Callithrix jacchus: one gene and its partners. The protein of the gene in region 4 purifies or fractionates together with the protein of the main gene of each other region. This does not show direct contact. Links are inferred from orthologs where the notes say so. Each region holds a gene or a part of one and is shown on either strand. Other genes may lie near its edges.

What was found.
Region 1: the proteins of SF3A2 (region 4) and RBM17 purify together in Homo sapiens (affinity purification with mass spectrometry; 4 studies listed by BioGRID and IntAct, counting the BioPlex papers as one, with this or other methods). This does not show direct contact. The link is inferred for Callithrix jacchus from reciprocal best matches to the Homo sapiens genes SF3A2 and RBM17.
Region 2: the proteins of SF3A2 (region 4) and SNRPB2 purify together in Homo sapiens (affinity purification with mass spectrometry; 6 studies listed by BioGRID and IntAct, with this or other methods). This does not show direct contact. The link is inferred for Callithrix jacchus from reciprocal best matches to the Homo sapiens genes SF3A2 and SNRPB2.
Region 3: the proteins of SF3A2 (region 4) and ZC3H18 purify together in Homo sapiens (affinity purification with mass spectrometry; 3 studies listed by BioGRID and IntAct, with this or other methods). This does not show direct contact. The link is inferred for Callithrix jacchus from reciprocal best matches to the Homo sapiens genes SF3A2 and ZC3H18.
Region 5: the proteins of SF3A2 (region 4) and SNRPA fractionate together in Homo sapiens (co-fractionation; 3 studies listed by BioGRID and IntAct, with this or other methods). This does not show direct contact. The link is inferred for Callithrix jacchus from reciprocal best matches to the Homo sapiens genes SF3A2 and SNRPA.
Region 6: the proteins of SF3A2 (region 4) and CHERP purify together in Homo sapiens (affinity purification with mass spectrometry; 3 studies listed by BioGRID, with this or other methods). This does not show direct contact. The link is inferred for Callithrix jacchus from reciprocal best matches to the Homo sapiens genes SF3A2 and CHERP.
Region 7: the proteins of SF3A2 (region 4) and CDC5L purify together in Homo sapiens (affinity purification with mass spectrometry; 3 studies listed by BioGRID and IntAct, with this or other methods). This does not show direct contact. The link is inferred for Callithrix jacchus from reciprocal best matches to the Homo sapiens genes SF3A2 and CDC5L.

Annotation. Positions count from the first base shown.
Region 1 is NC_133508.1:7,679,550-7,682,290, reverse strand, and holds the end of RBM17 (splicing factor 45), read left to right. Parts: intron 1-659; coding exon 660-732; intron 733-865; coding exon 866-969; 3' UTR 970-2,241; downstream 2,242-2,741. UniProt on the Homo sapiens protein: Splice factor that binds to the single-stranded 3'AG at the exon/intron border and promotes its utilization in the second catalytic step. Involved in the regulation of alternative splicing and the utilization of cryptic splice sites.
Region 2 is NC_133506.1:23,839,157-23,843,323, reverse strand, and holds the start of SNRPB2 (U2 small nuclear ribonucleoprotein B''), read right to left. Parts: upstream 2,801-4,167; 5' UTR 2,745-2,800; exon of another isoform or gene 2,641-2,744; intron 1,169-2,640; 5' UTR 1,135-1,168; coding exon 1,071-1,134; intron 703-1,070; coding exon 530-702; intron 1-529. UniProt on the Homo sapiens protein: Involved in pre-mRNA splicing as component of the spliceosome. Associated with sn-RNP U2, where it contributes to the binding of stem loop IV of U2 snRNA.
Region 3 is NC_133521.1:46,292,117-46,294,728, forward strand, and holds the end of ZC3H18 (zinc finger CCCH domain-containing protein 18), read left to right. Parts: intron 1-684; coding exon 685-781; intron 782-1,264; coding exon 1,265-1,466; 3' UTR 1,467-2,112; downstream 2,113-2,612.
Region 4 is NC_133523.1:2,124,478-2,127,977, reverse strand, and holds part of SF3A2 (splicing factor 3A subunit 2), read right to left. Parts: intron 3,044-3,500; exon of another isoform or gene 2,906-3,043; intron 1,784-2,905; 5' UTR 1,747-1,783; coding exon 1,621-1,746; intron 624-1,620; coding exon 552-623; intron 192-551; coding exon 145-191; intron 1-144. UniProt on the Homo sapiens protein: Component of the 17S U2 SnRNP complex of the spliceosome, a large ribonucleoprotein complex that removes introns from transcribed pre-mRNAs.
Region 5 is NC_133523.1:36,292,417-36,296,453, forward strand, and holds the start of SNRPA (U1 small nuclear ribonucleoprotein A), read left to right. Parts: upstream 1-1,237; 5' UTR 1,238-1,352; intron 1,353-1,517; exon of another isoform or gene 1,518-1,588; intron 1,589-1,848; exon of another isoform or gene 1,849-2,046; 5' UTR 2,047-2,068; coding exon 2,069-2,141; intron 2,142-4,037. Other genes in the region: ACTMAP (actin maturation protease), read right to left, coding at 155-477. UniProt on the Homo sapiens protein: Component of the spliceosomal U1 snRNP, which is essential for recognition of the pre-mRNA 5' splice-site and the subsequent assembly of the spliceosome. U1 snRNP is the first snRNP to interact with pre-mRNA.
Region 6 is NC_133523.1:15,139,346-15,142,452, reverse strand, and holds the end of CHERP (calcium homeostasis endoplasmic reticulum protein), read left to right. Parts: exon of another isoform or gene 1-108; coding exon 109-252; exon of another isoform or gene 253-353; coding exon 354-470; exon of another isoform or gene 471-523; intron 524-883; coding exon 884-978; intron 979-1,222; coding exon 1,223-1,416; 3' UTR 1,417-2,607; downstream 2,608-3,107. UniProt on the Homo sapiens protein: Involved in calcium homeostasis, growth and proliferation.
Region 7 is NC_133505.1:52,853,576-52,857,075, reverse strand, and holds part of CDC5L (cell division cycle 5-like protein), read right to left. Parts: intron 1,203-3,500; coding exon 1,103-1,202; intron 1-1,102.

The DNA of each region.
Region 1 (2,741 bases), on a different chromosome or scaffold from region 4:
TAAAATAACTAGAGGATATTCTGTTACTAGACTAGGTAGTATTGGCTGTAGTTTCAGGAGTTGAGAAAAGGATTAGATCAGCGAAAAAATAGAGACTGTCTTGTGAGCAATAACTGATGTGGGCTGCGCTTTGAAATGAATAGGTGGCATTTGTAGGGAAGGGTGTTCTGATTGGCTGCTGGGAGGTAGTGAGGGTCAGGACTACCAAAAGGGAATGAATGGGCCTATTGGGGATTAGCAGAAGTGCTGTGGTGGGTGAAATGGACACATTGCAGAGGGCCAGGAAAGCTTAGACCAAGCTAGTCAAAATGAGACCTGATATAAAAGACCACTAGAGCACCAACCTTTTTAATGTAAAAGCTCTGCTCCCTCTTTCTTTATTTTATTGCTGTTTCTTGACCTCATAATTATTTGTTTACATCATCAGCTGGCACGGGGCCTTCATGAGGTCAGAGACTGCTTAATACCTGTCATTAAAACAGGCATTCAGTACATTTTTGATGATGAACAAAGTATACTTATTTCCTTGGTGTTTGACAGCTGCTTGACTGTACATGGTGATAATTAGAATATTCACTCTGACAAATCATTTAAAAGAGAAAACCACTTTCAGCTCAGTCTCGAGTCCCTTTTCTCATCACGCTCTCCTTTTCATCCAGATTCCTGGTGCCCCCGATGATGAAGCAGTACGGATATTTTTAGAATTTGAGAGAGTTGAATCAGCAATTAAAGGTGAGTTAGCTGAATATTAAAGAATAAAATAGTTGAATTTACAACCTTCATCTTTACAAGTAAAGTTACTGTTTAAAGTTAAACCTTTATCATGTCTTATGCCTATATTAACAGTCTTTTGTTTGCCTTTCAGCGGTTGTTGACTTGAATGGGAGGTATTTTGGTGGACGGGTGGTAAAAGCATGTTTCTACAATTTGGACAAATTCAGGGTCTTGGATTTGGCAGAGCAAGTTTGATTTTAAGAACTAGAGTACAAGTCATCGCCAGTGATCCTTAAATGAACTGCGCTGAGAAACGAAGGAAAAGGTCACAGCCTGCATGGCTGTTGCATACCAAGACTCTTGGAAGGACTTCTAAGATATATGTTGATTGATCCCTTTTTTATTTTGTGGTTTTTTAATATAGTATAAAAATCCTTTTAAAAAAAAACAATCTGTGTGCCTCTCTGGTTGTTTCTCTTTTTTATTACTATTCCTGAGTTGATAACATTTTTTGTTAGATTTCATGGTAATTCTCAAGTGCTTCAATGATGCAGCATTTCTTGCACTAAAAAAAAAAGAAATCCAGAAAGTTTTAGGACATGGGGTTATATTAAGTTATTTGTTTTTCTTTCTTTTTTCTTTTAATAAAGCCTGCAAGTTACTAAATTGTAGTTTCATAAGTTCTGTAATAAGGTATCATCTTGGCAGTGTGCCAAAGGTGAAAACGATACTTTCTCTGACAGAGAAATACTTCTTAGTGACTCCAGTCGTAGAAACACGTCTTACCACCTGAATAAGACTGAAGAATTGTGAATATACCATGGCCTATTGGATGAATCATTTGCCGTTAAGCTAGGTCAGACTGTAGGGTTTGTGATGGATTTATGAGTATGTGGGTATAGAAATCATAAATATAGCACTTGTTTTCAGAGATTCAAGCATAGTCTTTAGGGTAGATCAGAAATGGCAAGTAATTCAAAACCTAGCAGGTGCATTGTAAATATGTGCCTAATTATGTTTTGGAAATGGCAGTTCCTTGGGGTCTTGTTTCTGCTGGCACAATTTGCAATAGTATTCTATTGTATTTAATTCCAAAATTTATAAAATTCATCCACATTGGCCACGTATACAATACTGCCAATTAATAGAATTCTGGAATTGTGAGAAATTGTATCACTGAAGTTCAGTAGGATGTGTGGCTTCAAAATTTATCAGGACCACAAAAAAGAAAACAAATATTTGGTACTGAGGTTCATTGCCAGGGCAGGAGGTATTTCCAGAAAATACTCATGCCTGTGTTCTGTTCCTTGCTTTCCCAAATACTGCATGTGACTCTCCCGAAGTGGCAGCTGAAGGACTCGAGCCCATGTTGTCTCCTTTGGTTATTATGACATGAAAGTGTATCAAGAACTCAGCATTTCTTTGCATCCATGGACTTGGTTTGGAGACATAAGGAATATTCTGACCCTTTTTAAAAAAGGATTTTCTCATGTTTTTATTTAACATAAATAAAAGAATAACATTTTATCTTTTGTGGTATTTTATTGAGTTTTATGGTAAAAGTGCACCTGTTCTGTAAAGTGAGTTGGGGTGAAGGAGTGCAAGGTAAAGTATATAATTGAGCATCGCAGAGGACAGTAAGAGTCAAAGGCAGCCCTGGAACTGGAGTTATGTATGGAATGAGGCCAACCATTCCTCGTGTGGACACCATGTGTGAACTTAAAAGTACCCAAATGTGACATGCTGAATGTAACGATGACTGGTTTAATTTTTGAAACTCCAGTGTGCTTAAGTTGGAACTCTGATGGTTCTAACCCACCTTTCGTGCGTGCATTTATGGTTGATATGCTTTGTAATAACTGTTTGTTTGCATTTAGGTGGCTTTTCCTGACATTCTCATGGTCAGCAACCAGAGAATTGCAAGCAACTCATACTACTTGATTTCTGTTCACGTGGGCACAACTTAGTGAGTGTCTTTCTCCCCATTCCCTTATTTTTAAAATTACCCATAACTGTATTAATCATTT
Region 2 (4,167 bases), on a different chromosome or scaffold from region 4:
ATGTGAATCTCATTATGTCATTCCTGAGTTTAAAACTCTCCATGAATAACAAGTTCATTTCCATTGTTATTCCTTAATCTTATGAGTTTAACCCTATAATTTTTCTTTCAATCATTGTTTCTTCTAGACTGTATAGCTTCTGACATATAGTATTTCACTATTAGCATTTTCTAAAACTTCAGACTGAATTTCCTCTTTGACTCATGGCTTTTATAATGTTTTACAAGTTTATAAACAGGTTTCAAGTCTTCCAGGTTATTATTAATTTGTAACTTTTTGAGATAAGAATATTGCCTAGACTGCCATTTATAAAAACATTCTACAACTCAATGTATTTTGTTTTTGCCCATCTGAACTGTTGTAAATTAAACTCTACAGCTACTGTTTTTCTATAAAAATACGTAAAACCAAGACATACATAATTAAAAGCAGAAAGCAACAGCCACAATTTCAAGCATATTTGCAAATCGACTCTACCATTAGTATCATTAGTTTCTTGATTAAAGGGAAAATAATAGGATTAGCTTACCATTGGTTTACCATAAAATGGAAATCCTTGTAACTGTCTCAAAGCATTCGTGGATGAGCCCAGTTCCTTAAAGATGACAAAGGCCTGCCCCCTCATCTTCATGGTCTTTAAAGCCACAATGTCCACGACATGACCAAACTGAGAAAACAGGGCATAGAGGGATCTCTTCAATTCTGTCCAAAGTAGAAAAGAAACAAGTCACTGGTGAATCAAATAATGACAAGTCTTCAAAGTATACTCTATTGAGTTGCTAACACCATTCACTTATGTATACAGTTATATTAATATTTATAAAAAACATATACTATTCCCATTGGCTGTATGAAACCATTATAGCTATGAGTAGCAACAGACTGAACACAGTGTCAGTTCCTATCTATTTTTGTTTTTTAAAAGCCTTCCCATCCTTACAGGAAATGGGATAAACCATTATTTCAGGCACTAAGATGATGAGGTGAGAGGTTTTCAGGCAGTACGATTTTTAAGACAGTAGTAAATAAACACATTTTAGTTGTGAACAAGTATTTTAAAAAGCACTTACCTTCCTTTTTAATTTTGTCATTCATATTGTTGATATAAATTGTATGATTTGGTCTGATATCCATGTTTGCGTTAAATTCTTCAAAAACAGTAAGTAATCTGTTACAAAAAAGAAAGATTAAATTATACTGGACTGTAGCATAAGGACACAACACAAGAATTATTAACTTTTCACTTCTCTTTCAATTCCCAATTGTCAGAAAATGTCAGTTTGGCTGTAATCTTTATTGTATCTCCAGCACCCACTAGCCCTTCCTTTCATACAAAAGAACAGTGTCTCATGCTCAAAACTTGGGGCACCAATACCTAGCCAGATTTTTGTAACAATATTTAATTCAACACATTTATTTTTACACTTACTTTTCGCTTATGACAAGTGATACTGACTTTCCGCCTGCTCGATGAAACAATTTAAAAATACAGATTTGAAGAAAAATGACAAAGTAGCAAATGTACACCCAGTAAAAATCATAAGATTAGACATTAATGAAGCTTGCCAACTTCATGCCAATTTCATGGGTGCACTTATAAAGTCCTTCCATACCTATCACTTAATTTGTATCTCCAAGCTATCTGGATTCCAAGGTTACCTCTAACCGACCTAAAAGAAGGGAGCTCAATGAGAGCAGTATGGCATGACTGTTAAACTCAGATTCTAGTGCCAGCCAGATGTGAAGTGAAATCCTATTTATGCTCCTTACTATCTGTTTGCCTGAGGAAAGTTCCTTAATCCCTCATGTCATCAGTGAAACGAGAACGGTAACAGAACCTACCCAACAGAACTCAGAAGACTAAATGAGTTCTAGCACGTTCTGCATCAGCGGTAAGCACTTAGGAGTAATTATTAACAGCTATTACCAGTTAAGGGACTTGCCTAAGGTCACACAGCTAATAAGCATTAGGCCTGGAAATTCAGCCCTTGCTTTCTCTACATTTTTCTCATCTACCACACAATTGCATTTTCCACATTGTTTTTACTTGCAAAGTGTGAACTTGCTTGATTTCCTTGTGTACCCCAAAGTTTCTTTATCTCACAAATATTTACAGAGCATCCACTGTATATGAACAGCACTGGACGATTGACAAGGTAAGAGCCTACAAGCGGGGCTACGGAAACGCTCCTCAAAACCTTGCGACCCCCTAAATCGAAATCTGGAGAAGGGGCAGGAGTCGCAAAGGAGACGACGAAAGGGAAGTGATTGAGGCAGAGGTCAAACCGAAGGTAGGGGAAGAAAGGGGAGGTTCCTGCAGGGTCTCCCGCGAAGTTTGAACATAACCTTGATTGCTACAGGGCCTCTCTGAATTACCCGCCACTACCAAAAGGGAGCCGCTGGAAGACACCTGAAAGCTCAGTGAACGGCCCACGCCTCGCAAAAGCAGATGGACATGAATTATCCTTTACTTCGTACGCGCAAGCCTCCCACCTCTCTAGACACAAGCACCTTCGCCCAAAGCCCCGGCAAGAAGTCCAAGGGAGCAAAGACGCGATGCCCGGCCCCAGCCAGTCACGCGCGTCAGTCTCCATCCCTTCTCGCCCCTAAGACAGAACCCCGGGGCAAACGCGTCCCCACCTCAGCTTTACGCTTCGTCCGCTCCCAGCTGCAACAGGGGAAAAGAAAGGCAGAGGAGTCAGGAGAACAGAAAGAGCAAGGAGGTAGAAGGCGCAGGAACCCACCTAAGGCGTACGCCGTCCCTCGTTAGATCTAACAGCAGGAAACGGAGCCAGGCACCGGAAGTAACGTTGCCAGGCTCCTCAATCGAGCGTCGACAAGTCTAGAAGCCGAGCACGGAGTCGATCGATGCTTCCGGCTCTCTGGCGGCCAAGGCTGGGAATCTCTCTGCGCTTGCGTAATGCCTGGAGGGCAGGAGATGAGTTCGGAAGTGGGAATGGGGAAAGATAGCAGGGTTGTGGGGACCGTGCTGCGAGGAAATAGGGAAGGGAATGAATAATTTCCCGTACCACGACCCTGCGAAGCTTCACCCCGCACAAGAGTGCCTAACACCTTTCCAAATCCTATGTAATTTAACAGGCGCTGCCCCTCATGCTGTGGGGCAATTAGTCCTGGTTTCGCCCTTCTTTGGGCTCCGGCTGCCCGGGTTTAACATCACCTTTAGGATAGCCAGTTCCTCCTGCCTCCAAGTCTCCTCTGATTCCTGGACTCTGCAGGAACTGTCCTCCAACACTCTGCTGATGAGCTTGAATCTCAGAGGCTACCAAGGGCGGACAGAACTCCGAGTCTGCCCTATTCTCATCTTTCAGATATGGCAACCATGCTCGGGTAGAACCCAGTCATCTTTAAGATCATCTGCCTCAACTCACTCGAAAAAATAATTCCCTACCACCCTTCCCACTCTTCTCTTCCCACAAAATGTCTAGATTTTTCTAGGGTAATCTAAGGAGTTAGTGTTTATGCCAAGCTGAATGAGAATTCCAAGAAGTGCATGCATTCGTTCATTCATCCATTCATCAGATGTCTGCAAAGCATCACCTGGAATATGAAATGGTTGTTAAGGGTCTAGGGGAACCTCATCTTGTATCCTTCTCTTAACTATATTCTCTCTGACCTTCACTTTCTTTATCTGTAAAATAGGTATCCTAATAGTGCCTCCTTCTAGTTGTTGTGAGCATTAAATGAGCTAAAATAAATGTAAATTGATTGGCACATTGCCAGACAAAATAAATGATCATAAATGTTATTTCTGAATTCTGGCTATAACATGCATATATTGGTGAGGCAAGTAGCTGTCAGATTGGTTTTATCAGCTTGGAATTTTTATTTTTTTAAATAAAAACCCAAATTTGCAACAACTTAAAAATAATACAGATTTCTTAAGGGTGGGGGTTTGTCTGCTCTGCTTACTCAAGTACCCTTATTAATTAGAAAAGTGATAATTAACATGTATTGGATAAAAGAATGAATGAAATGGAAAACTAGGCAACAGTAAAACAAATATGAACATGCACATAAGTGTAGACAATGTTAAGGGATCACAGAAAAGCATCATTTTATTATAGAGATCTAAAACTAGAAGAAATAGCTGAGTGCAATTGCTCACACTTGTAATCCCAGCACTTTGGGAGGCTGAGACAGGAGGAC
Region 3 (2,612 bases), on a different chromosome or scaffold from region 4:
AGAGATTGTCCTGGCTGGCTTTGATGGGTGGAGCGCAAACCAAACAGGCCAAGGGCCTGGCCACCGGCACAGACGCTCCCAGACCAGGGAATAGGCAGGGGCTTCCAGACCCCTCCCCAAGTCGTCCTTTAGGCTTGTCGGGGGCAGGAAGGGGAATTGCTCTCCTTTGTCCCTAAGCCCAGGGCCTGTGCCCCGTGCAGCTGGCCTGGAACAGCCTTGCTGTTTTTGCCTGGGGTCAGAGCCAGGGCCACTGGGGTCCTGCTGACCTAGCTTCACTCTCGAGCCTCGGGCCTGTGCTGGCCAGTGGTCCCTCCCTGCCTCTCTCATCCCGACAGCGTCAGTGAAACACTCCTGGTCTCGGCTTCGCTTGTATTTCTCTACTGCCAGCCTTTCTTCTTGTTCCATATATGAAGACCCACTTGACCCATTTCTTCAGAGCTAGGAAGGAGTTTTGCCTTCCTGTGAGATAGTGGCTGCTCAGTGGAACCTGGAGCCCAGGTTTGGCTCAGCCTCGTTTCCAGATGCCTTGGGGCCCACATCTCTCTTCTCTTCTGCTTGGCTCTTGCCTTTTCATCTCTTTATAAAAAGGAAGGAAGTGAACTGAGCAGCCTCAGGCTTTAGAAGTGGGTCCCTGGCATCCCCTGTAAACCAGGAAGGTGGTCTCACTCTGTACCTATCACACAGGTTCTCGGGACAGGAAGTCAGGTGGGAGACTGGGCTCCCCGAAGCCAGAGCGGCAGAGAGGCCAGAACTCCAAAGCCCCTGCAGCCCCATCTGACAGGTGAGTCCCACCCAGCACGTGCCCTGGGCGCACCTCGGGGGCTAGACCAAGCCCGTCCCTCGGGGAGGCCAGCAGCATCAGGGCCAGCCCTGAGCCAGGCCAGAGGCTCCGCTTAGTTCAGAAGGCAGAAGGGCAGCCCAGGCTGGAGGTGTCACTCCAGCTTCTGCTAGGCAGACAGGGTGAGGGGCAGGGAAGGCCAGCTCCATCCCCACAAACACACTCCTGCCCTGGTCGAGGCTGCCCTGGGCACAGAGGTGGGAAGAAGAGCAGGAGGTTGTGCGGGGCCGGCCCAGGCCCCTCCCAGTCTCTGGTCCACAAAGCCCGGGAGCCCGTGGGTAGGACCAGGCCTGCTTGTGACAGCATCAGCCCCTGCCTGTCTTGGTGGCCACTGAGGGCGCAGTGGAAGCTCCCCTGCAGGGAGGACAACCTCGCTGCCCTGTCTGCCTGCAGACGAGGCTCACAGTCTTCCCCACCCGCTTCCAGGAAGCGCCAGCTGTCACCGCAGGCTAAGAGTTCCAGCAAGGTCACCAGCGTGCCTGGCAAAGCCTCGGATCCCGGCGCCACCGCCAGCACCAAATCAGGGAAGGCCAGTACACTGTCACGGCGGGAGGAGCTGCTGAAGCAGCTGAAGGCCGTGGAGGACGCTATCGCGCGCAAGCGGGCCAAGATCCCTGGGAAAGCGTAGGCCGTGCCCCACCGGGCTGGACGTGTTTTTATACATAGGGTAAGCACAGCCATTTCGGATTTTGCAGTTAATATCTTATTTTGGCTGTGATTCTTTTTAAAAAGTAAAAAAGAAAAAAAAGTTTCTCAGCTGGAAAAGAAGCCACAGAGGAAATGATGCCGCTGAATCCCCGCCTCCCTCCTCAGAGCAGAAGTCCCGCTGGACAGACACCGACAGCGCTAGTGACCAGCACGGTTCTCATGTAAATTACAAGCCCCAGCCGCCAGCCCCGCCGTCTCTTCCTCCTCCACCGTCTTCTTCCCTGGCCCCAGTCAGGCCCGAGGAGCCCCCACTCTGGGTCCCTGGCTCCAGGTCCAGGCAGCCAGGCTCCCTCCTGAGCCGAGAAACGGAACACCTCGTGAACCACTGGTGGCACCTCCTCCTCCTCACCCGCCCCTGGATCAAAAATATATATATATTCTCAACTAAAGTCTGATCAGGAAATACTTCCTGTCTTTTATTTTAAGCATCAAATTGTTTTAGTTGATTTAAAAAGGAAAAAATACAGAAAAGACCAAAAAAAGACCAAGGGTATTGTTGGGGCATCTGTCTAATGTGGAGGGTCTTTTTTTGAGGGGTCTCCTAAAATAAAATATTTTGATAAGCAGCTGTCCTTGCCCTCGTGCTGTGTGTGCCCTCTGCCTACGAGCAGCCGGCGCCGCCTCTGCTGCACGCTGCGCTCAGCCCTGCGCTCGGGAGCCACTGGAGGGTGAGGGTGTGGCCACGCTCATCCCCCACCACCTGCCCCAAGGACCCACCCTGGAGCCGGAGATGTTGGCGGCGGGGGGGGGGGGGGGGGGGGGGCTGGCACCCATGCTGCTCCCCCTGGGCTGTGCTGGGACTTCCTTGGTCTGTGAGGAGGAGGCACCTTCCCTGCACAGGCCATGGTGCTGGAGGCCAAGAGTTCAGGGCCAGCTGCCAGCCCCCAGTGTGATGCCCCATTCCACAGCAGGAGCCACAGGCACAGCCCCCAGGACACCCGCTGCAGCCCCCTGCTCTCCACCTTGAGAGCCACGGGCCTGTGCCCAGCAGAGGCCTCCCAAGCACACTCCAAGGCCTCCTTTAATCAGATTCAAGTAGCCACGGTGTGGTGCCCAGGCCTGCCGC
Region 4 (3,500 bases):
TGTTCCCTAATGCTCCCCAGAGACCTTACTCCAGCGCCCATTCAGGCCCAGGCCAGGCTGGTTTCCACGCTGTGGAGCCGTGGCCCGGGGGCTCATGGAGACGGGCTGCTGGAGCAGCCGGTGAGACGCGGGCGAGGTACTCACAAGTTGGTCTGGTGCTTCTTCCCCTGGGTATGTGCCAGGTAGCTCCCCTGGAGTGGAAAGGAAACACATGTGACTCGAGGCCGAGGGGACAGACACGGGGCAGGAAACACGCGTGACTCAAGGCCGAGGGGACAGACACGGGGCAGGAAACACGCGTGACTCGAGGCCGAGGGGGCAAGACATGGGGCAGGAAACACGCGTGACTCGAGGCCGAGGGGGCAAGACACGGGGCAGGAAACACGCGTGACTCGAGGCCGAGGGGACAGACACGGGGCAGGAAACACGCGTGACTCGAGGCCGAGGGGACAGACACGGGGCAGGAAACACGCGTGACTCGAGGCTGAGGGGACAGACACGGGGCAGGAAACACGCGTGACTCGAGGCCGAGGGGACAGCACGGGCCGCACCTCGTTGTTGTGAAGCGTTAGGCAGAGCTTGCATTCATAGGAGCCCAGGTGGTTTTTCATGAAATACGGGTCCTGGAAGGGAAGAACAGGTACCCCGTTAGACAGAAGATAATGGCCTGCCCTGCGGTCGGGGCCCTCAGAGGTGGGACCCCCTTTCTGTGGAGGCCTGGCTGTCCCTGATGGATCTGGCGAGGGGCCTCGTGAGCACGCGTGTGGCCACCTGGGGCTGTGGCCTAGGCTTTGAGCAGTGGGTTCCCAGGGAGCCCTGGCACCACCTTCCTGGTGGTTCTGAGGCAGAGAGGCAGAGCCAGGACAGCAGCGCCTGTCACTCTGATGCAAGGAGCCGTCCGCTGTCCACGCCACCAGGCCAGGGGTCAGCACAAGGCAGACGCAGGGATGAGAAAAGCAATGGGTGACATGGAAGGCCACGCGCATCCACGGGCCCTGAACTGGGGCAGGCAGGCACACACTTCTCGTCTCAGACCCTGGAGTTCAAACCCTAACTCCACCCCCTGCGGCCTGGCACCCCTCCACCGTGATCTCATCTGGAAGACAAGGAACGTCACAGAGCCTATGCTGCAGGCCAGGCCCGTGGGGCATGTCAGGGAACACGGCACTGGTGGGTCCTGGTGGCATCCAAACCTAAGGAAGCGCACGCTGGCAGGGTCTCGGCTGGGATCCACCCTCACAGGGGCCTGGGCGGTGTCTGGGGACATCTGTGTTTGTCCCGATGGGGGGAGCTCCTGGCACGGAGCCAGTGGGGGAAGGGATGCTGCTTGGCACCCTACAGTGCCCGGGACGGCCCCAGCCCAGTGCTGCAGCCCCGACGTCCACAGTGCTGAGGGGGACCCGGCCCACCCCACCTCTGCACAAGGTAAAACCAGAGCCTTCACTGCATCTGACTGGACCGACATCAGCTCCCCCCATTTCCACAAACTGGATGATGCCCAACAAGGCTTTGCACAGAGCCCACCATTTCCACCCGGGGCTCAGAGCCACAGAGGGTCTGCTGCCTGGCGTGGCTGGATGGGAGCTGCGGCTGCATCGCCCTGCCCAGCCGGCCGCCCACCTTGTTGATGTCGATGGTCTCCAGGGCCAGCTGCCGGAGGCGCTCCCTGCGGTCACGGTTGCTCTCGGAGGAGGAGGCCACGCCCCCGCTCCCGGTCTTGCCCCCAGGGCGATGCTGGAAGTCCATGGTGACGGCCTCCGGGCTTCAGCAGACTGGGAGACACCTGTGGAGGAGTGTGAAGACGGCTGAGAAGGCGGGGCTGCTGCTGGGACCTCCTGGGGCACCCAGCCTGTGGAGGCCAAGAGGAGACTGAGAAGGACGGCTAGAACTCGGGGCTGCTGCTGCCACCCCAGGGCCGGGCAGTCAGGTTGGGGCCAGCAAGACTGCTCCTCACCCTGCACTCCCAGCGCCAGGGTCTCACCAGCCCTGAGGGGCCACCTGCTAGTGCACTGACTCTCTTCCAGGGTGCCAGGGCCCACTGTGGGCCGGGCACAGACATGAGGAAGCTGGAGCCTGCCTCTTGACCGTGCAGGAGGGTGGAGGGGAAGCCACTCCAGCCCACGGTGCCAAGGCCTGGAGACCTGAAATGGCGACAGGGAGTCAGAGAAGGCACAACCAGGGAAGAGGCGGCCAAATTCTCACCACCGAGTCACCACCTCCAGGAAGCCATCGGGACTGCCCGAGCCCCCAGTGTTCACACCTTCCTCTCAACTCCCTCTAGGGTTGGCTACGCTTACTTGTCCCAACCTGAGTTCTATCTCTCGGAATCGGCTGTGAATTTTCTGGGCAGAGAGGGAGACGTGGATCTTCCGGTCCTCACTGGGTAACACCGGGAGATCAGCCACATCTGCCTGTGGCGCAGGAGGGCTCTCCTGAGTCCCAAACACCCGCTTCCCGCCGCAGCCCTCTGCCGCTGCTCCACACCCTCAGGCTCCAGGCAGACCCAAGCTCCAGGCAGCTTCCCCTCCTCTCCTGACGCTTTTCCCTGCCCCTTCAACACCTGCCCCGGGCCCTGGTTTAAAGGCCCTGGGTGAGCTCAGGAGACCGAGTGAATCATTCATGGCCCCCAAAGACGTCCGTCCACATGCGAACCCCTGGGCCCTGCGAACCCTCACACGGCAGGAAAGGGAAGCGCAGGTGGGCCTGAGGATCTTAAAACAACGGGTGATCCTTTCAGCATCCTCCCGAGAGGAGGGGGAGGCTGGGGGACAGAGAGGCTGTGCTGTGCTGTGAACAGGGAGGACGAGGGGAAAGGCGGGAAGAGTTCCGCTAACAGAAGGGATGGAGCCTCAGGGACTGTTTGCACTTCCAGCCCCAGATCCAGAAGCGGATGCAGCCACGTCACCTGAACTGCCGCGTCTTCGGTGATCTGCCACAGCGGCCGCAGGTGTGCAGGAGCACGCTGAGGTACAGGCCAGCTGTGCTGCTGACCTGCGGTGGGACCTGAGGTCACTCCTCAGCTGTGGGGGCCCAGGACCCTCCCACCCAGTTAGTTTATGACAACGATCCAGTGTGGTAACCGGTGGGACGGGCTGCTGACCTGCGGTGGGACCTGAGGTCACTCCTCAGCTGTGGGGGCCCAGGACCCTCCCACCCAGTTAGTTTATGACAACGATCCAGTGTGGTAACCGGTGGGACGGGCTGCTGACCTGCGGTGGGACCTGAGGTCACTCCTCAGCTGTGGGGGCCCAGGACCCTCCCACCCAGTTAGTTTATGACAACGATCCAGTGTGGTAACCGGTGGGACGGGCTGCTGACCTGCGGTGGGACCTGAGGTCACTCCTCAGCTGTGGGGGCCCAGGACCCTCCCACCCAGTTAGTTTATGACAACGATCCAGTGTGGTAACCGGTGGGACGGGCTGCTGACCTGCGGTGGGACCTGAGGTCACTCCTCAGCTGTGGGGGCCCAGGACCCTCCCACCCAGTTAGTTTATGACAAC
Region 5 (4,037 bases), about 34 Mb from region 4:
CAAGGGGTCTACGTGGGGGTCCTAAATAGTCAGGCTGTTTGATCTTGAGGACACGAGAACCCCCCAAGAGGAGACAAGAGGAGGCGGCTGAAGTGATCTGCGGAGAAGCAACTGGGGCAGAGCCTGGGCGGTGGGTGGGGTATGGAGACCCTACCGGTCCTTGTGCAGCTTCAGGAGCCTCTTCACATCTTCTCTGCCCTTGGGGACCGGGCCAGCCTTCTCCAAGGCCTCCTTCAGGAGCTGGCTCTTCTCCAGGCCGAAGACATGAGGGCGAGCAGGCCCCGAGGCAGCGGGTGGAGGAGGCAGTGGGGGCGGTGGGGGAACAGGAGTTTGCTGACTCCAGGGACGGGATGAAAAAGCTAAAAAGTCCAGGGCACTTGGGGGTAGAGGAGGAGGTGGAATGCTGCTGGCTTGGGGTACAGGGGTTCTTGGAGGAGGGATTGGTGATTTTAGGGGAGGAGAGCTTGGTGAAGTCATTTTGGGGTCTCCAGGAGGTGCTGAGGGGTTCAGAAGGTGGGGAGGGAGGGATCGTCCAAGAGGACGGCCTCAGGGACGGAAATTTTAAAAGTTTAAGAGCTGAATTCCAGAATCTGGGGGCAGAGCAGTGGGTGTGAAAGGACCAGGGCTAACATTTGAAACAGTGGGAGCAGGAATTGCGAGGCTGACCTCAGCCTTAAGGCACCTGACGGCTAACACGGCGGGGACGGGTTGTTACCTCGGGAGGCTTAGGTGGACAGTTAGTAGGAGTTAACTCCTTCTCTGGGGCCGAATGTGGAAACTCATGGGTAAGTCTGGGATATGAAGGCTCAGACATAGAGTGAGGTGCCTGAAGGGTGCGACTTAGGGGCCCGGGGCTAAAGATTCGGAGAACTTAGACTCAGTCCCCTCTCACATCCCAGGCCCGAGTTCGGAACCTTTGAGCTGACCTTTTGAGTCAGAGGCAAGAGGTCAAAAAGGACACCTGGCAGGGAAAGTGGCCTAGTTGTGGAGAAGGTCCTGGAGTCAGAGCAATAAAAAACCTCCGTGGGTTGGAGAAGACTCAGAGATCACAGGCTGGAGGGCGCCGCGATAACCGGTGGAACAGGGAAAGGAGTCAGGAAGTAAAATGAGCCGCCCACTCCCGCAAAATGGCGGCCCCCGCACACAGCCTTTCCCATATTATGTGGTATCACCCTCAATAGTGCCCGCCCATTTGGCGATCACGTGACAGAAAACGCATCTCACGCGGGGAAGAGGCGGGGCTTCAAACAGGCTTGCCTCCGGAAGACACCGCAGTTCGAAACGCGTCCCGATTGGCAAAACAATCGTGACCTTCACTGATTGGTCCGTAGACTCGGGAGCTACGGAAGGAGGTGGGCTTGTCGAAAGTGGGGCGGAGTTTTTCTACCTAAGCGGGAACCCAAATATCGTTTTGATTGGCAAGAACTGAGCCTAGAAACGAGTCTTGCTCTGATTGGGCAAGCTACTGAGTTTCCGCATGGGGATTGGCTGACAGAAAGGTAGAGGCGGGGCCAGGAGAGAAAGCTTTGTGGTTTGGTCTCAGAAAAGTAGCAGGCGCCAGTTGAGAAAACTGCGGCCCCATCGGAAGGTAACCTCGGGCGCAGACTAACATCGGCGGAAGGCGGGCGGTGCGCTTGGCGTCCGGGCCTTCCTGTGCCCGTCTGAGGAAACTTCTGCCTCTCGAGGCCAGGCTGCCCAAGACCCATCCTTTCTTCCTTTACTGGCTCTTACATCCGGGTTTTTTCTCCCGGACTGCCCTTCGGACGCGTCGACCAATGGGAACCGCCATTTAGGGGGCTCCGCCCACTGGGTCGCGTAGAGCATCCTGGAACTCGTAGTAAATCTCTCGAGAGTTCCCTCTGCACGCGGGCTCGAGAAGTGGGTCCTACGCACGCTTTGTTGCCCACGCTGTGCCTCCGTCCTTCCCACTCCCGCCTTACCTGACTTCCTCTCGGAAGGAAGAACCTTGAGCCCCCCGTTAAGCCAACGTTGGGACAAAGGATTTGGAGAAAACCAGGGCTAAAGTCACGTTATTTCTCGTTTAAGCCTTACCTCGACACTTCACTCCATGGCAGTTCCCGAGACCCGCCCTAACCACACTATTTATATCAACAACCTCAATGAGAAGATCAAGAAGGATGGTGAGTTCTCGGGATAGTCCGCACTCCAGGCTGTCCCGCACGGGCTGGTCTCCCTTCCACCCCCTGCACCTGCTTTTCTTTCTCAGTGTTCGTCCAAGCAAACTGTTCCAGTGAACCCTTTGGCCTTTACACAAACGACTTCCTCTGTCTTCAACACTCGTTAGTTCATCTTACACTCTGCCCTTTAACCTGGTCACTGTTGCTCATCTTACAAGGTTTCAGGACACAGGACCCCTCCTCCAGGAAGCCTTCCCTATCCTGCGTCCCTTCACGTGGCTGCCCCTGACTTCCTTCCATCAAGCCCGGATTCCTCTGGGCTGTCGTGGGGCTCTCTCTCCTCCCAGTGGCCTTTGAGCTCCATGAGGGCAACGCCTGGGGCTTCTTGGTCACCGGCGTTTTCAGTGATCAGTGCACAGTGAAAATGTACCGTACTGGGGCTAACGCTCTGTATCATGGGCTGGTCTATGCGCTATTTTTTTTTTTTTTTTTTTTTTTTTTTTTTTTTTTTGAGACGGAGTCTTGCTCTATCCCCAGGCTGGAGTGCAGTGGCGCAATCTCGGCTCACTGCAACATCCGACTCCTGGGTTCAAGCGATTCTCCCACCTCAGCCTTCTGAGTAGCTGGGACCACAGGCACGTGCCACCATGCCCGGCTATTTTTTGTATTTTTAGTAGAGATGGGATTTCACCAAGATGGTCTCGATCTCTTAACCTTGTGATCCGCCCGCCTCGGCCTCCCAAAGTGCTGGGATTACAGGCGTGAGCCACCGCTCCCAATCTTGGTTACATTTAATCCTCAAAACAAGCCTGTAGGAAGAAAGAAGGCTTTTGTTATTCCCATTCCTCAAATAAGCTGAGACTGGGGTGATGTGACTTGGCCTGGGTCACATAGCCACCGGTATCTAACTCCCGTTTTTGGCAGGGCGTGGTGGCTCAGGCCGAAAGGATCACTTAAACACAGGAGTTCAAGATCAGCCTGGGCAACAAAGCGAGATCTTGTCTCTACAAAAAAAAAAAAAAAAAAGCCTGGGCATGGGTGGGTCACGTCTGTGGTCCCAGCTGCTCAGGAGGCTGAGATGGGAGGATCGCTTGAGCTACAGAGGTTGAGGCTGCAGTGAGCTATGATTGCACTGCAGCCTGGGCAGAGCAAGAACCTATGTAAAAAAAGAACTTGATTATTGAAATCGGCAAGACTCTACAGCTTTCTCAAGTAAATTATCACCTTTATTGAACCTCATTTTCTGTGTCTGAAAACTGAACAAAGTCATAATACCTTCTTTGCATCGATGTTGGGGGAAATTAAATTAGCTAAATCTCTAAGTGTTTCTGTTTTATGGTACCTGGCAGCTAGGAAGGGCTGGATAAATGTTAGCTCTTATCACCTCAAGAAAATTGTCGGGAGAAGCGAAGGAGCTTGCTGGGATTCAGTTTGAGGTTACCAGTGAAGTTGCGCTTGAGGAAAGCATAGCCTACAGCCAGGCGCAGTGGCTCACGCCTGTAATCCCAACACACTGGGAGGCAGAGGCGGGTAGATCACTTAAAGCCAGGAGTTCGAGACCAGCCTGGCTAACATGCTGAAACCCTGTCTTTACTAAAAATACAAAAATTAGCCAGGTGTGGCGGTGCATGTCTGTAGCCCCGGCTACTCGGGAGGCTGAGGCAGAAGAATCACTTGAAACCCAGGAAGCGGAGGTTTTTGGGTGTTTTTTTTTTTTTGCAATTTTTTACTTTTTCCCTCCCAGAACACGGGAAGGAAGTAGAGGTCTTAGTGAGCAGAGTTCGCACCACTGTGCTCCAGCCAGGACGGTAGTGTGAGACTGTCTCAAAAAAAAAAAAAAAAAAAAAAAAAAAAAGACAAAATCAGGAATGTAAATATTGCATATGCTTTTAGAGTGTG
Region 6 (3,107 bases), about 13 Mb from region 4:
CCCCCTGCATCTGGGGTCTTCCAGGAACCTGAGAGCCAGGGTGGGCCAGGTCCAGCCCACAGGGAGACAGGCCACCTGGGCACCCAATCATCAGGCCTCTCCCCACAGCGGACCCTCAAGGTCTCGGAGCAGATCCAAGAGCCGAGGGCGTTCTTCCTCCCGCTCCAACTCAAGATCCTCCAAGTCATCAGGCTCATACTCAAGGTCAAGGTCGCGCTCCTGCTCCCGCTCCTACTCCCGCTCCAGATCCAGGTAGACAGAGGCCGCCTTGGGAGGGTAGTGCCCGAGGCCTCTTCCTGAGGCCTCCCCACAGTGCCTGGCTGCTGCTGACACATGGACACTCTTCCCTGCAGAAGCCGGAGCAGGTCGCGCTCCTCCAGAAGCCGTTCCAGGTCCCAGTCGCGGTCCCGGTCCAAGTCGTACTCCCCGGGAAGGAGACGTCGGTCACGGTCCAGGAGCCCTACCCCGCCGTAAGATTGTCTTAACTGCCATGCTGGTAACACTGGGACTCTGCGGTGCTTTGCTGTGAATATGGAAGCATTGGTGGTTAGGAGCCCGCCAGCGTTAGCCTAGGGACAGGGGCACCCCTCACCACCCCCACAGCAGTCACTTGGCCATGCCCGAGGCGGTAGCTGGGGTCTGCTAACCACCATCAGGGTTCACTGTGTCCCACCCTTGATGCTGTGTGTGTGGTGGGTAGGCACCAGCGGCTGAAGCCCCCTTATCCGGCTGATGCAGGATAAATGGGTGTAGGCACAAAATCTCTGTACGGTGTCGCCTGGCGATGGTGAGCACACACGAGCCACAGCTCTGAGGCCCCATCACTGTCACGCCAATAAATGTCTCAGTTATTCCTTAAAAGAATAACCTGTCTCGATTTTAGTTCCTCTGCTGGTCTGGGTTCTAATTCAGCACCTCCCATCCCTGACTCAAGGCTCGGAGAAGAGAACAAAGGCCATCAGATGCTGGTGAAAATGGGTAAGGCAGGGGAATGGGGACGGCTGGGAAGGGTCTTCACATGTGCTGGACCTGGCATGTGGGGATGGATGGAGTCAGGCCGGTTCTGACTCTGCCCAGAGCCTCTAGACAGGGCTGGCCTGCGGGATTCTCTCACTCTACCCATCTCCCATGTCTGCACTGCCTGTCTGTATATTCGGCCCCCCATGTGCACCCACATCTGCGCCATCCTGTTGCGGTCGTGATCGTGCATCTCTCTTTCCAGGCTGGAGTGGCTCTGGCGGCCTTGGTGCAAAGGAGCAAGGGATCCAGGACCCTATCAAGGGCGGGGACGTCCGGGATAAGTGGGACCAGTATAAAGGCGTGGGCGTGGCCCTGGACGACCCCTACGAGAACTACCGCAGGAACAAGAGCTACTCCTTCATCGCCCGCATGAAGGCCAGGGACGAGTGCAAGTGAATAAACTTGCACTTGCCGCGCTGGTGGCCAGCACTGCCGGCTGTGGGACCTTCCTGGTGGAGTGGCAGTGGAAGATCACAGTGACAGCTCAGTTCTCCCACCGTCTCCAGAAGGGGAGAGCCCCACAGGAAGAGAAGGAAGACCAGCACATGCCCAGTGGGAGCGCCATGCTCACGGCAGCCACCAGGGCCCCAGGCTCGTTTTCCTTTACAGTGAAACAAGAAACACAAGACCCTCCGCTCCCCGAGTAAGACTTCTTCACCCACGAAGGGTTGGATGCACATCTGCCCTAAGTCAGCAAAGCCTCCTCTCGGGCTCCAGGAGAAGTGTGTGCAGGAGAGGTCAGCCTGGGCCAGAGCCGGTGCCCCAGCTCCCCAGCTTCCCTGACCCACCTTCCCCTCAGCTGCGTAGGGAGAATGCCGAGGCCCAGTGCCATGACTGCCCACAGACTGAAAAACACAAACACAAAACTTTGACTTGGAAAGTCAAGCAGGGTTTTCATTTTTATTCCCCTTGGTTTAGTTTTAGAAGAATATTGACCTGAGAGGAGGCCCAGTGAGATTCTCAAACCCGATTCCTTGAAGGCATACTGGCCCTTAGTTATTTTAGTTGTGTAAGTTGATACTTTTTTTCTGGAATGTTAGCCATGTGCTATTGTCTGGGAAACAGAAGATTCTAACAGGAAACCAGCTTAAGGCACTTCAGGTCGAGTGCTGCCCTCAGAGTCCATGCCGGTTGCGTTCCCTGCTTCAGTTTCGCACTTGGAAGAACCCTGCACTGGTTGGCGTGCACACAACGGCCCAGTCCCATCCAGAGTGTGGAGCCTGCCCCCCCCCCACCCAGCCAGGGCCTCCCACTATGCCATTTCACACCCCACAGGGAGGGGAGTTGCACCTGCTGGAGCTGGTGAATGGCTACTGGGAATCAGCCACACCTCATGTCTGTGGGCAGCCTAGTGCGATGCCATTCATTTGTACAAAAACATTTTTGAAGAATTCTTTTCAATAAGATGCAAAATCCTCCAGGTTTTCAACCCAATGTGATACAATATTTGATTCTGTTCTAAATTTCCTGTAGCTGTGAATCCTTAAAACGTTATGATTCAGGATAAAACGTAAATACGTGCTGTTAGCAATTTCTTGTGGATTTCATTGTTTTGCCTTCAAATAAAGCCTTTTTTTAAAGACCTTCCTCCCCGCTTGTGTAAGTCAGAAGTGTGCTCAGGCTGAGTGAGGAGACGTGTGTCCTGGTTTGAGCTGTGCTGCTTGGGGTCAGGCTGTGCCCGGTGGCTCACATGGCGTCCCCAGCATGCTCGCCTGTCCCATGTCCTTATCCTCGAGCAGGGCTTTTCCCATCCACCGTGCCTCCCTCTGGCTTGCTGGGAAGCCAGGACCTGCCTGGGTGGAACTGCTCTGCAGAGGCTGGTGGCCCCTCTCCTGTGAGTGAGGACAGCTCCACTGAAACTCCCTTTCCTCTAGCCTGTGGTGTCAGAGCTGGGCATGCTGTTGGGAGAACTGTCACTGAGCTGGGATTTGGCTCAGAGGAATATGGGCGGGACCCTCACTCCAGCACTACCTGCCCCCACCACAGAACTGGATGCTGAGGGAGGGAGGGAGGGTGTGACTACGCACGCACACACTGAGTACAGAGGATGAGGTACCTTTCCTTAGACATCACATCAAGTTCCACCT
Region 7 (3,500 bases), on a different chromosome or scaffold from region 4:
AAAAAAAAAAATTAGGTGGGAGTGGTGGCGCGTGCCTGTAATCCCAGCTACCCAGGAGGCTGAGGCAGGAGAATAGGCTGTGATGAGCCGAGATTGCGCCATTGCACTCCAGCCTGGGTAAAAAGAGCGAAATTCCATCTCAAAAACAAAACAAATAAAAAAAATAAATCATGTCATTTTTATTGGTCCTTAGGATGCCTAGACTAATTACTGAACTATGAATGGTAACAACCACACTGTGACATTGTGAAATAATATATTTGGTCTTCATCCCTGTTTACAACAATGCAACTTCTAAAATCCTGGGACTCTTCCGAGTGATAAGGGTCTTTCTGTATGTTAATGAGTTGACTGATGGCTGTCACCAGAAAGACCAAGGCAGTATTAGAGGATTGGGACTTTCAGCCCTACCCCCCAACCTCAGGAGAGGGGAGAAGGGCTGAGGGTTCAGTTGATAAGCAACGGCCAATGATGTAATCAATCTTGCCTATGTAATGAAGCCTCCATACAAACCCAAAAGGACAGAGTCTGGAGAACTTGTGGGCAGCCAAATACATGGGGCTTCCAAAAAGGTGAACAAGAACACACCCACTTGCTCAGAGGGTGGCATATCCCAGCTTCAATGGGACATAAGCACCTGCATTCAGGACCCTTCCAGACTTCACCCTATGTATCTCTTCATGTGGCTGTTAATTTGTATCCTTTAACATATCCTTTATAATAAACTAGTAAATTGAGTATTTTCTTGAGTTCTGTGGGCCCTCTAGCAAATGAATAGAACCCAAGGAGAAGGCAGTGGAAGCCAGCTCTTTAGTCAGAAACACAAGAAAAACAACCTGAGGCTTGTGGTCAAGCATCAAAACTGGTGTTCAGTCTTGTGGGACTAAGTCTTCAACCTGTGAGATCTGGAGCTATCTCCAGATAGACAGTATTAGAGTTAACTGAATTAGAGGACAACCTGCTATCCACTGCAGGATTGCCTGCTTGCTGGTGGTGGGGGGTGGGTGGGGGGAAGAAAACACCTATCTGGTCACAGAAGTATTCTGTGTTGATAGTTAAGTGAAAAAAACACTTTGCTTTTTATTCCTATATCCACACATACCTTGCTTCTTCCAATTGTTTCTCTCTTGCTTTCCTCTTGGCCTTCTTTCCCTGAGTATTAGCCAAGCGAGCTCTGGCTTCAGAAAGCATCTCAAGTTCATCTGCAAAAATTAAAAGAAGAAAAACTGAGACCGCCATCATGAACGACACAGTAACTATCCACACTAGAAAGTTCATGACCAACCGACTGCTTCAGAGGAAATAAATGGTCATTGTCCTTTACCCCGGGAAAGCAACAGTGCCTAAGACAGAAATTTGGGAAAAACTAGCCAAATGTACAAGACCACACCGGATGTCATCTTTGTATTTGGATTCAGAACTCATTTTGGTGGTGGTAAGACAACTGGCTTTGGCATGATTTATGATCCCCTGTATGCAAAGAAAAATGAAACCAAACATAGACTTGAAAGACATGGCCTATATGAGAAGAAAAAGACCTCAAGAACACAACGAAAGGAACGCAGGAACAGAATGAAGAAAGTCAGGGAGACCACAAAGGCCAATGTTGATGCTGGCAAAAAGTGAGCTGGGGACTGGATCACAGCCAAAGGGGTAAAGGTGCTGCAATGATGTTACCTGTGGCCATTGTGGATTTTTCACAAGAAGCTTAATAAACTAAAAACTTTCATGTGGGGAAAAAAAAAAGAAGAAAAACTAAGTTTTTTCTTAGTTCTTACATACCTTACAAGCAAGGTATGTAAGAGACACTCTATTACTCTATTAGAAAAAAACATAAATATACTCACAGTGTAGCATAATGGAAACAGCTTGAGTTTTGAAATCAAAGAACCTAGGTTAAAAATCAGGCCCACCACTTGCTAGCTATGTGACCTTATAGTCACTTACTCACCCTCCCTAAGTGTATCTTCCTATAAAATTGGAAGACAATTCCTACTTCACAAGGATGTTGAGAAGAGCTAAGTAAAATGAAATATGTAAAGCATCCTATTCATCAAACAGTGGCTAGAATTACTGTATCCTTCATTATCATCAACTAACTGACACAGCACAAATTGTGAAATATGGTAAAAACGATTTCATTATGAGAGAACTGCTATCATGAGATGCTTTTTTTTCCCTCAGAACAATTTCTCTCCTCCAATACATTTTGCATGGCTCTGTGGAATGGAGTAACACACGCCATTATTGATGCCTTCAAACAATTCCTATGCGAGGCTGTCCAACCAAATCACATGGGAACTTGTAAAATACTCAGATTCCAAGGTCACTGCTCTTCCCTTGCCCCTCACACCACCTCAGATGTACTGACTCCGTATATACAGGGGAAGCCCTCATATTTCTATTTTTAAATGTACCCCCTGTGATAATGATGCAGCCAGCCTAGCCACAGCCTGCCTTTGGGAACCACTACATTCAAACTTTTATATTTTAGAAACTCAACAAATAGTCACTGAATGCTTCACAACAACCCTGCTAAGGTAAAGCAGTTACTAGTATTCTCCATCTAGCAACAAAGGGAATCACAGCTCGAAGAGATTTTAAGACTTGCTGAAGGTCAAACAACTAATAGGTGGCACACACAGGTTGAAAATCCAATTCTTGATTTTCTGTTAATACATACTTTACATATTTATAGTGTACGTGTGAGAGTTTGTTACATGCATAGAATGTGTAATGATCAAGTCAGGGTATCTGGGGTATCCACTGCCTTGAGTATTTATTTCAGATCTCTCTTCCAGCTACTTTGGAATACATAATACACTGTCGCTAACTATAGTGACCCTATTCTGCTACCAAACATTGTAACTTATTTCTTTCCATCTATACTTGTACCCATTAACCAACCCGTCTTCATCCCGCTCTCCCACCTACACACTGTTCCCAGCCTCTGGCATCTATCACTCTATTCTCTACCTCCATGAAATAAATGTTTTTAGCTCCCACAGATGAGTGAGAATATGCAGTATTTCTCTCTCTGTTCCCGGCTTATTTCACGTAACATAATGACTTCTAGTGCCATCCATGCTGCTGCAAATGACATTTCATTGTTTTTTATGGCCAAATAGTATTTTGTGTGTGCGTGCGTGTGTGTGTGTGTGTGTGTGTACATCACTATTTTTTTTTTTTGAGACAGGGTCTTGCTCTGTTGTCCAGGCTGCAGTGCCAAAGCTTGATCTTGGCTCTCTGCAAACTCAGCCTCCTAGGCTCAAGTGATCCTCCCACCTCAGCCTCCCCAGTAGCTGGATCTACAGGCATGCGCCACCACACCTGGCTAATTTTTGTATTTTTTATAGAGGCAGGGTTTCACCATGTTGGCTATGCTGGTCTCAAATTCCTGGGCTCAAGTGATATGCCCAAAGTGCTGAGATTACAGCCGTGAGCCACCATGCCCAGCCCACATTTTCTTTATCCATTCATCCATTGATGGACACTTAGAT